3 linked regions of the Canis lupus familiaris genome follow. The protein of the gene in region 2 interacts with the protein of the main gene of each other region in a biochemical or structural test. Links are inferred from orthologs where the notes say so. Each region holds a gene or a part of one and is shown on either strand. Other genes may lie near its edges. The genes, in order: NR0B2, EID1 and FBXO21.

The links.
Region 1: the proteins of EID1 (region 2) and NR0B2 form a complex in vitro, tested with the Homo sapiens proteins (3 studies listed by BioGRID). The link is inferred for Canis lupus familiaris from reciprocal best matches to the Homo sapiens genes EID1 and NR0B2.
Region 3: of the proteins of EID1 (region 2) and FBXO21, one has a biochemical effect on the other in vitro, tested with the Homo sapiens proteins (2 studies listed by BioGRID, with this or other methods). The link is inferred for Canis lupus familiaris from reciprocal best matches to the Homo sapiens genes EID1 and FBXO21.

The regions. Positions count from the first base shown.
Region 1 is NC_049223.1:72,630,702-72,634,451, forward strand, and holds NR0B2 (nuclear receptor subfamily 0 group B member 2), read left to right. Parts: upstream 1-1,199; 5' UTR 1,200-1,261; coding exon 1,262-1,802; intron 1,803-2,583; coding exon 2,584-2,882; 3' UTR 2,883-3,224; downstream 3,225-3,750. UniProt on the Homo sapiens protein: Transcriptional regulator that acts as a negative regulator of receptor-dependent signaling pathways. Specifically inhibits transactivation of the nuclear receptor with which it interacts.
Region 2 is NC_049251.1:15,392,638-15,396,119, reverse strand, and holds EID1 (EP300-interacting inhibitor of differentiation 1), read right to left. Parts: upstream 2,529-3,482; 5' UTR 2,322-2,528; coding exon 1,746-2,321; 3' UTR 635-1,745; downstream 1-634. UniProt on the Homo sapiens protein: Interacts with RB1 and EP300 and acts as a repressor of MYOD1 transactivation. Inhibits EP300 and CBP histone acetyltransferase activity.
Region 3 is NC_049247.1:14,069,738-14,073,387, reverse strand, and holds part of FBXO21 (F-box only protein 21), read left to right. Parts: intron 1-475; exon of another isoform or gene 476-582; intron 583-882; coding exon 883-1,094; intron 1,095-2,563; coding exon 2,564-2,721; intron 2,722-3,650. UniProt on the Homo sapiens protein: Substrate-recognition component of the SCF (SKP1-CUL1-F-box protein)-type E3 ubiquitin ligase complex.

The sequences.
Region 1 (3,750 bases), on a different chromosome or scaffold from region 2:
ATGACCTGCTGACAGCTTGAGCAGACCCTTACACCTCTCCTTTGGACTTCCCCAACCGAACCCAATGCCCTTCAAACCCCAGAGGAGGAAGTCACCTTTGACTGGTCGAATTGCAATCCTTCCTTTGCATAGTGAGGGTCACTCTGACTGGTTGGATTGCAATCCTTCCTTTGCATATGAGCCAACCAATAGGAAACCGTTCTGCCTTACAACGTTATGTAAACCCCCTACCACCTTGTCTTGGCGCGACTTCCTCGACTCACTCTCTTTCCCCCGTGAGTCGTGGAACCTCGCCCGAGGGTGCCTGCAATAAAATCTGTTCTTGGACCCTCGCTTGCCTTGGCGGTCTCATTTCCATCTAGTTACTAAAAAACTTAACATGACCTTGGGCAAGTCACTTCACCTCTTTCAGTTTCAAAAAGTAAGAATTTTGCCTCATGGGGAAGCTCTGAGTATTAGAATGGAAAGTGCCTAGCACACAGTAGGTGCTCAATAAATAGCAGCCAAACTTTATTCTCATTCTGTGAGGGCTTCTCAGCAGAGACAGCCTTTTGGGAACTTTAGAAATCCAGGCTAAGGAGAGAGAAGTTCTTAGGTACCTTATTTCTGGAGGGGCCCCAGAACTGAGTCGGGAGAGGGAGGCCTCCTGGCCTGCACAGTGGGCAAAGTCCTTCCAGCCCCCCAGGGTCCTGGCTCCGTTCCCGCAGCCTGTTCCTTACCAACAACAGGAGCAGAGCCCCAAGGTTAGGCAAACAAGTCCCTGATAAGGCACTTCCAGGTTGGGCCTTGCATTCAAGGCTCGTCCAGCTCCGGGGCTGGCCTCCCAGCTTAGCGCCAGTCTTGCAGGCACCAATAGGGACACCTGCAATGGCCACCTGCTGATTGTGCACCTGAGGCCTTGGTGCCTCGGTACAGCCTGGGTTAATGACCCTGTTTATCCACTTGAGTCATCTGATAAGGGGCAGCCGGGCCAGCGGGCAGGCAGCCTTGTGCCCTGCACAGGCTGCTTCATTGACTGAAGTGATATCAGGGCCACGTGGAACTCCCAAAGCCCCCTCCCCCGCCACTTCCCCACCAATCCTGCAGGGTCAGTGCGTGTTTTTTTTTTTCAATGAACATGACTTCTGGAGTCAAGGTTGTCAGGCCGTCCCTCCTGCCCCCACCCACCGTCCCTCCCACTGGGGGAATATAAATAGCACCCAGCACACAGCAGAGGGCAGAAGCGGGAGAGCTGGGAGGAAGAAGGAGCAGATCCCCAACCATGAGCTCCAGCCAGCCAGGGACCTGCCCGTGTCAGGGTGCTGCAGGCCGCCCAGCCATTCTCTATGCACTTCTGAGCCCCAGCCTCACGGCCAGGCCCCCAGTGCCCCCGGTTCAGAGTCGCTGCTTGTGCAGACAGCACCGGCCCGTCCGGCTGTGTGCCCCGCATCGCACCTGCCGGGAGGCCTTGGATGTTCTGGCCAGGACAGTAGTCTTCCTCAAGAACCTGCCGTCCTTCTGCCAGCTGCCCCCTCAAGATCAGCAGCTGCTGCTGCGGGTCTGCTGGGGCCCCCTCTTCCTGCTGGGGTTGGCCCAAGACACTGTGACTTTCGAGGTGGCTGAGGCGCCGGTTCCCAGCATACTCAAGAAGATCTTGCTGGAGGAGCCCAGTAGTGGTGCACACAGCGGCCAGCTGCCCGATCGGCCCCAGCCCTCACTGGCTGCCGTACAGTGGCTTCAGTGCTGCCTGGAGTCCTTCTGGAGCCTGGAGCTGGGCCCCAAGGAATACGCCTACCTGAAAGAGACCATCCTCTTCAATCCTGGTGAGCTTCCAGACATTCCTGGATGGGGACCCAGGCAGGGAAGGCATCTTCTAAGGGCTTGACACCCGTTTTCTCTTTGGGTCCTCATTATCCCCAAAAGTCACCTCCCAGAGAGGTTAAGTGTTTTGCTGAAGGTCACACAGCCTCGGTAGGGGCAAAGCAGGGATGGGAACTCAGGTTTATTCCCTCCAGAGACTGGTCCATGCCACTCTGCCTAAGAAACTTGCCCTGACTGTCAGGGAAGGTGAGCAGACACAACTCTGCCTCTGTCACAGGTAAAACCCTGTGGGTTCAGAAAGACCCCATGGAGAAGAATGAAAATGTGAGATGAGAATTCCTCATCAAAAAGCCCTCGTAGAATGCATAAATGATGGTAATTAATTATAGTGATAGTAATGAATATTCATATTACATTTACCATATATTAGGCCCAATTATAAGGGTTTTGAATATACTAGCTGACTTAAACTTCATAACATGCCTAGGAGATAGGTATTATTATCCCCATTTTACAGATGAGAAAACTGAGGCACAGATATTAACATATCTGAGGTCATACAGCCAGTGAGTGACAGCATGGGATTCAAACCCGGGCTGCCTGGCTCTTAACCATTACTCTGGGCTGCCCCATAAATGGATGGATAAATAAAGTGATAAACACATAAATGGAGGAGGTAGTAATGGGGCCTCAAAGGCCAAGCCAGTGACCTCCGGTCTTGGGCCAATATTGCTGCCTGGGAGTGGGGTACTCACCCGCCCTCTTCACCCTCTCTGCCCACAGGCTTGCCAGGCCTCCACGCCTCCTCCCACATCGGACACCTGCAGGAAGAGGCTCATCATGCGCTATGTGAGGCCCTGGAGCCCTGGTGCCCAGCAGGCCAAGGCCGCTTGGCCCGTGTCCTCCTCACAGCCTCCACCCTCAAGTCCATCCCGCCCAGCCTCCTTGGGGACCTCTTCTTCCGCCCTATTGTTGGAGACATTGACATCGCTGGCCTCCTTGAGGACATGCTTTTGTTGAGCCAACCTGTTCCAGCCCAGGCAGAGATCAAGTGGAGGTTGGGCAAAGGCTGGCAGCACTGATTTGGCCCAGCTGTCCCCAGGGCTACCTGTTGCCCCCAGAGGGAGCAAGTTTGTACAGGCAGCACTCAGCCTCCCTGGAACAAGCCTGTCCTGCCCCAGAGAGATGGGCTAGGGGCACCCCCCACCTCACTCACCACACGGCCCCCACTGGCCTTTCTTGGTTTGACATGGCGCTCCAGCTGTCTGGAACTGGAGTGGTCCTCTGGCTTCTGGGCTAAGACTCCTGACCCCTTCTGAGATGGGGATGGCAGTTAGGTTGCTCAATGGGACAAGTCCTACTGACTTTGTACAGAAATGATTTAAGTTATTGGTTTTTGTAATAAAAGGCATGATACCCTTGGAGCCTGACACTGTAATTTGTACATGGAAGGGACTGTCCCACCTCCAGGGCCCACTCTGCCACTATCAGGAGTTCAGGAGGAAGGAATCATAAGGAGTGCTGGAGCCAGCCCTCAGGGAACTGGGATATTAATTTTTCAGGGCAGGATGATTATTTCATCTTGAGGGATGAGATTTATTTTGCACAGGGACTAGGATCAGTTCAGGCCCCCTTACTTCCTTGCCTTTATCTTTAGGGCTGAGAGTGTCTCTTCTTGATCCCCTTGTGGGGATCGCTAACCCCTCTCTTGGCTTCTGAGCCATACAGGCTCCCTCTCACCTCAACAAAAGTCAGATCACAGCCAGTAAGGAATATGAAGCAGCCCATTCTCAAATTTAAACAGGCAAGGTCAAGGTCACGGGAATTTCTGCAGTTTGGGATCATTCACTTGCCCATTCCTGCAGATGACAGTAGAAGACAGTCCACTGCTGTCCCAATGGGAGGGGCAAGGGAACCCAGGGCTGGCCCCACACAGCTGCCTGGAGCCCA
Region 2 (3,482 bases):
GCTGCAGCTACAAGCTGTTTGAAAATGCAGTGAAATTAAGGCATTGGAGAGGCAGGGTTAGGATGGTTAAGTGCTAACATCTTGCTTATTATTGTCCCATCTATCTATTCTCCTCCTCACCAAGCTAGTGTTTCAGTAACTATGGTCACCCTCGCCAGTCCTCTACTTTATGTAAAAGGACCCCCGCCCCCCACCCATAAGAGGCAAGATGACTGTAACTGAGGCTGAGCTGTGGTATTGTACTGGATGTGTCCTTTAGTGCCATAAGGGGCAGGAACATCCAGTACTTTTATTGATCATCAGACCTACTAATATACTGTTTTACTGGGCACAGCTTTCTGACAGAATTACTACTATTCTTATACAACTTCAGAACCTTAATAACCACAGCAACATGCTCACCTTAATAGGACAGGTTTTCTCAGGCTGGCAAATTCTTTCATAGGAATTTGCCAAGTTTAATATCCACAAGTTAATTTATAAATCAGTTACTTGAAGCTGGAGCACTTTCCCATGTAGTGGTTAAATGTGAATCATAAAGTGGTTTCAATGATAAAATAAAATAGCACAATACAATAAAATAATAGTGTTTAGATAAAGTATGGGAACAATATTCTTGGCCAAACAAACAAAATACACAGAACAAGAAATTTTATTATCTCGAATGCTGGTGCATAACCAATGACAAGCGTAATTAGAGGAGGAGACAGAGGGAAACTTCAGATACTGAGGTGGATTTCTGGGCAGGTTTTAAAACCTTTTAAGGGTTGAGGGCATAATTGTTCAGTCTTTCTTTTTGGATGTAGGGCTTTCCTTTTACTTGACATTTTCACTTTAACAGTTCTTATATTATGAAGTTCAACCAAAGTCCTTCACCTGTAAGTTAAATGAAAAACAAAGAGAGCAAGTAAAACAACTTCTCTAGTATGTAAGAGTATCAGAAATAGTCTGTTCTTTCACATACATTTTAATGTCTAACTTTGAAATTACGGACGTCTTAATTTTTGAGTTTTAAAAATGGCAAGACAAATTTTCTTGAATTATGGATCATAGTAGCTTTATAAATGATCAAGATACACGTACAAACAAAATTTCAGATGCTCTTGAAAACACATTTTGAGATAGATCACACATGATACATATTTCTTCTTGGGTTTATCTTTTTGGGATAGTGAAGAATACCCAATTTTTTTTTTTTTTTTTTTTTTTTTACACTAAAAATTTAGCCTTTGAACACTGGCTTGGACAGACCACAAAGTGGAACCTCCAGAGTTCTCTCAGTAGGCTTTCAGTCCAAACGATTCAGACATCTTGTGTCCTAAATTGGATGTTACTACTTTTTCTCACGTAATTGGTATCAGTGGGGGTCTTGTACTGGCGGTTTGTCTTGGTCATAACTTATTCTTGCAAAACCATTCCTTATAGTGAAATATAGGAGAGGTATTTTCCCCAAATGCAAGGAAAATAACCGGGATCAGTAACAAAGTCTAAGCGGCAGGTGTTTCAGGAACATTCTTGAAAACAGATTTCCACAGTCCTGATACGTTTCTTCTTCTTCTCCAACAATGCTTTCATAAGAGCGCAGTCACTGCCCTATTCTACTCTGCACGACAACAACAAAAATTTTCTTTGAAGATCGACTTTTTTCCCTTGGCACCGTTACTATCTATCTGGAATGAGCCCAAAAGACCGTGGAATGTCGGGTCTCTCCTCAAGTAGCTTCCTCCTCTTTTAACAGCGTGTAATCACTCTCTGTCAATAATCTCATCACAGCCGAGTTCTTCGGTCAGGCGATTGACAACCATAAGTGAAAAAAGCTCTTCGATGAAAGCCAACTGATCAAACGGGGTCTTCTCGTAATGCATTTGAAACCCGCCATCCAGGGCTGCTTCTCTGGCTCTGGATGTTCTCAGGAACATCTTGTTGGCTTCCTCCAGGGCCGCGGATACCCTGTAGCCGGCACCACTCAGTTGCTCCTCTTCCGGATAATCGTAGTCGTCCTCCCAGTCATCAAACTCCTCACCCTCGTCCTCGCTCTCGAAGTCAGGGCCGGCGAGCTGGCCCGGCTGCTCCCCCGGGCTGGGCCGGTGAGCAAGGCCTCGTTCCCCCTGCGGCTCCGCCATTGGCTGGGCCGCCTCCTCCTCCATCGGGCCTTCCTCCTCCAGCTGCGGCTGGGCCCCGTGGCGGGAGGGGTTCGGGGAGGGCTCCCGGCTCCCGCCGCCTACCTCCATCTGCGGAAGGTCACCCTCGCCGGGCATCACATCCATCTGCAGGTCATTGCTCTCTTCATACAGCTCGGACAGCTCGTTCATCTCCGACATCGTACTCGCGGCGCACCCTCTAGCCAGGCGTCCCTGCAGACGGAGCTACGCGGCCGGGCGGTTCTGCGCGTGCGCCGACGCCGCGCGCCTGCGTGACCCCGTGCGTCTGCGCGACCCCCGGACGCCGCCTCCCGGGTGCCCGTCGGGCGGGGGGGCCGACTCCTGCGGCGGGAGGGGCTCCCGTTCGCCGTCCGTTCCTGCTGCTTAGCGAGGCCCTGCGTTTAAGAGAGTCGCCTTATCTCCGCTTTGCTTAACCGTCCCGCTCCTTACGGTGCTGTAAACTTGGAGATACTTTACGTGGCCTCTGTTACGACGTTTCAGCCTCCCCCCTGCTCCCTCCCCCTCTCCCCATCTCCCCCTCCCTCCTCCCCCTCTTCCTCCTCCCCCTCTATCCCTCCCCCTCGCTCCCTCTTCCTCCCCCTCTCTCCCTCCTTCCCCCTCTCCCTTCCCCTTGCGCTCCCCTCGCTCCCTCCCCCCTCCCTCTCTCTTTCCCTCTCCCCCTCTCTCCCTCCCTCCCTCCCTCCTCCCCATCCCTCCTCCCCTTCCCTCCCCTAGACCCTCGCATCTGCACCTGTCGTCCATGCGCAGGGCTCCCGCATCCACACCGCCAAATCAGTGTTCTCAACCACAGACCAACATACTATGAACTGATCCATTCAGCTCTACTTCTGTTTCCCCCATTAAAAAAAAATAATAATAAATTCACAAACATATTATCTATCTTCGCTACATGCTGAAGAAGTACTTGACTCTATTTCCACAGGAGGTTAACTGTGGTCAGTTTCAGTGTGTATTCTTTAAATCCTTTTCCATTGCATTTGTCCTTTTCCTTTACAACCTCGTGCAAAAATCTTGTTCTGTGTGTGGGTTGTTTTTTGTTTTTGCATGTCTTACGTAACTGTCTTCAGATTACAAAACAAAAAGCCCCTCTGCAGTGTCTTGAAGGTTTAGCTTTGTTGGGGTACATAGATGAGTGGTGGTGGTGGTGGTGTGTGTGTGTGTGTACAGCATTTCATTTTATTTATTTTTTATTTTTTAGCATTTTATTTGTATAGCTATGCTGTTGTTGACCTAACTTTGCGCGCAAAATTTCCGATTTTTCAATATTATAAACTATGGGTAAATGACATCCATATACGCCAGTGTTTCTCTAGAATAAAT
Region 3 (3,650 bases), on a different chromosome or scaffold from region 2:
AGTAGAATGGGCGCTGAATGATTGTGTGTGTATAAAACTTTATTGGAATTTGCATTTTTTCCTTAGAGGCACCATGTACGGGTAGAGAAAACTTACCTTGGAGTCAGACAGTTCTGTTGCTAGCCTCTCAGTCATTTCAATTCCACAGAGAGATGGTTTCTCCTTGCCCACTTGAATACACAGTCCCACTGGGAGTTAACAATCATTGAAACGATCATTGCGCTTCCAGAACCTGAGACACGTCTTCATCAGCATAGCTAATTTGCATCACTCAGGGGGCTTCTCTGTCACCCCTTCTGCCTTGTGCAGCAGAAGCAGCTCTGTCAGATGTCTCCTTGATCGGGACTGAAGCAGCTTAGCAGTTCTTTTACCTTCCAGTTGATGAGTGGCCAATGAAAATCATCTTTCTGGGTACGAAAAATGGATTCCCCACACTGAGCAAGAGTATTGGAACCCTTTAAAGTTCCCTAATCCAGTGGTCGCTTCGGCAGCACACATAATAAGATTGGAACGATACAGAGAAGATTAGCATGGCCCCTGCGCAAGGATGACACGCAAATTCGTGAAGTGTTAAAATAAATGAATGAATGAATGAATGAATGAATGAAAAGTTCCCTAATCCAGATGTACCCATGGAGGGCAGGCCCTGGCCACTTCATCCCATGCTTAGTCCCACACACTGTTTCTAAGTAATTCCTACGCTCCTACCAGTTGACTTTTGGAGGCCTGGGGCCATTGCCCACCATTAGCAGTGAGACCACCAACTCAGTGGATCCCTGGGCCACTAGCATGGCCCCACCTTGCCGTCCTTTGCCAGGTTATGTAGGCCTAAATCTCATGCTGTGAACAAGAAAAGGCCTAAATGAAAATATTATCTCCTAGTCTTTCTGTCTTGTCTTGAAGGTGCTTGACATCCTCCAGCACATTCAAACCCTAGACCCCGGGCAGCATGGGGCGGTGGGCTATCTGGTGCAGCACACCTTAGAGCACATTGAGCGCAAGAAGGAGGAGGTGGGCGTGGAGGTGAAGCTGCGCTCCCATGAGAAGCACAGAGACGTCTGCTACTCCATTGGGCTCATTATGAAGCATAAGAGGTGAGTGCCTGTGGAATCCATCCCCGCACCACTGCAGGGGATGCGTGGTGTGCCCGCAAGCACGCTTCTCAGGAGCCATGGCATCTGAGTGTCTGCCGCAGAAGCGACTGAAGGCTGAACCAGTCTGAACCAATTCTACGCTGTTTCCTAAGAAAGGGACTCACTTTCCTAACTGCGAATCTTCTAATGTAAGATCTGTAAGCAGCAGATTTTATCTCTCATTTTCTTGTTGCCCTGAGGCTTCTTTTCATTTCCATCCCCTTGAATCTGGGTTGTGGATAGGGTTTGCTGGGTTATAGGCACGTGTGTGTGGTCAATTGCTAGGCAAAATTAAACCATAACCACAGTGACCCTGTGATTTCTGTCCCACTCCGCAGGCTAGGAGCCGAGGGTTGCAGGGTTTCTGTTCTCACCCACCTGTGTTCTTGCCACACCTTTGAAAGTGCTCTTAAACAGCAAATGGCAAATAGTATTTCATTGTGATTTTTGTTTGCATTCTCCCAATTAGTCTGCAGATCGACTAGTAAACCTACAAAAAAGAAGTTCATTCAGGTTTTCTCTTCTGAAGTACCTCTTCAAACATTCTTATTTTCTACCCGAACTATTTGTCTGTCTTGTTGGTTTGTGGTCTCCTTGTCCTGCTACTAGTATCTCTATGCATATACGTTGCAAATAATCTTGTCCCAGTTTGGGGTTAGTGTGTTTCATTTTTTTATTGCATTCTTTTTTTTTTTCCTCCAACCTCATTATGGACATTTCAAATACACGTCAGTGGAGATGAGTATAGTGAACCAGGCGATGCTCCCATACCCAGCTCCAGCAGTTGTGAGGGTCAGCCTTCACATTTTCACCCCCTATCCCTACCCAAGCCCCTTGCAGTATGTGTACCTGAAAGGTAAGGGCTTGCTATATTTTTTAAAAGTGTTTACTATCTTCTTGTAGTATCTAAGGAAAAACAATTTCTTCACCTCACCATATCAGTATAGTCAGAATTCCTGTTGCCCTGTTTTTTTTTTTTTTTGTTTTAACAATCTGCTTGAATCTGACTCCTTTGAGTTTACTCTTTGCCTTTATGGACTGTTTTTCGTCCCTGGTTTGAGGAATCTTAAACCTGTCCTATTTCATGAAGTTATCTTAGGAATTCTATGTTTTATATATAGGCCTTTGTCCTACTAAGATACTGTGCATTGCTCTCAGGCCTGGGTCCCAATACCCTTTTCCGTTTGGATAACTACTTGACCCATGATGGTTGGTTGAAGTCTGTTCTTTTCCAACTGAAATGGTATCTTAATAATAAGAGGACCTTATAAAGGGAGCTAAGAGTGTCCTGAAAAATGCTTAATAGGGATAAAAGCAGGTAAATTTGTAAGGACATAACCTTAAGAGAACCAAGCCATTACTTACATATCCCAGAGTCTCTGTGACAGGGTCCCAGGGAACTGATTTGCCACTGCTCTTATATTGATTAGGTATGGCTATAACTGTGTGATCTATGGTTGGGACCCCACCTGCATGATGGGACACGAATGGATCCGAAACATGAACGTCCACAGCCTGCCTCATGGCCATCATCAGCCTTTCTATAATGTTCTGGTGGAGGACGGTTCTTGTAGATATGCAGCCCAAGGTAAGGAGCTAGTTCTGTGTGTATTCATAATGACACGCCGGCACATCTTAGCACACATTTTGAGTGTTCTGATACTGTGGGTACAGTCACTGATTTTATTTAGAGATGGCAGTTGTGTGGCTAACCTTATCAGGGCCGATTCTCAGCTAAATGTGGGTAGGTGTGCCCCTGTGTGGCCATGCAGTGGGTTAAATAGTCCCCGCCTTCAGACTCTTCCCTCCATCACCCCCACACCCAGGACCCTGTTCCAGTGTTGTTGCCAGCCTCTGTTCTGATTGGTCATTGACTTTGCCAGTCAAGTTCCCGAAAGTCATGCTTCCCAAGCCCTACCATTGGCTCCCTCCAGGCAGTGAGGGCCAGCCTGTGCCCTGCCCATATGGCCTGTCTGAACTGGAGGACACTGTTGTGGGGACTACCCTAGCTGCCTCCGGCATCCATAGCCAGCTGTGAGCCCCAGAGATGTCCTAGAGTGGCCACAAGGGGAACCACAATCCACAGCACTGGCTCTGAGAGCCTTGATGGTCAGCAGGTGCATGGTGGTGTTTGGGGCCACTGCCAGCCCTGATAGGCGCTAGTCCAGGGCACTCCTGAAGTAGGACGGTTGGAGCCTGCAGAGGCCGATTAGAGACAGATGCCTCCAGTATGGGTCTCCCTTTTCTTTGTTCCTCCTTTTAATGGGATGAATTTATTGCATGGCTGCCTGTCAAGGCATTCACAGCTTTCATTTTGTTAGTCAAAATGAACATGAGTGAGGGACACCTGGCTGGTTCATTTGGAAGAGCATGTGACTTTTTTTTTTTTTTTTTTTTTTTAAGATTTTGTTTGTTTATTCATGACAGACAAAACACAGAGAGAGAGAGAGGCAGAGACACAGGCAGGGGGAGAAGCAGGCTCCATGCAGGGAACCTGACATGGGACTCCATCCTGGG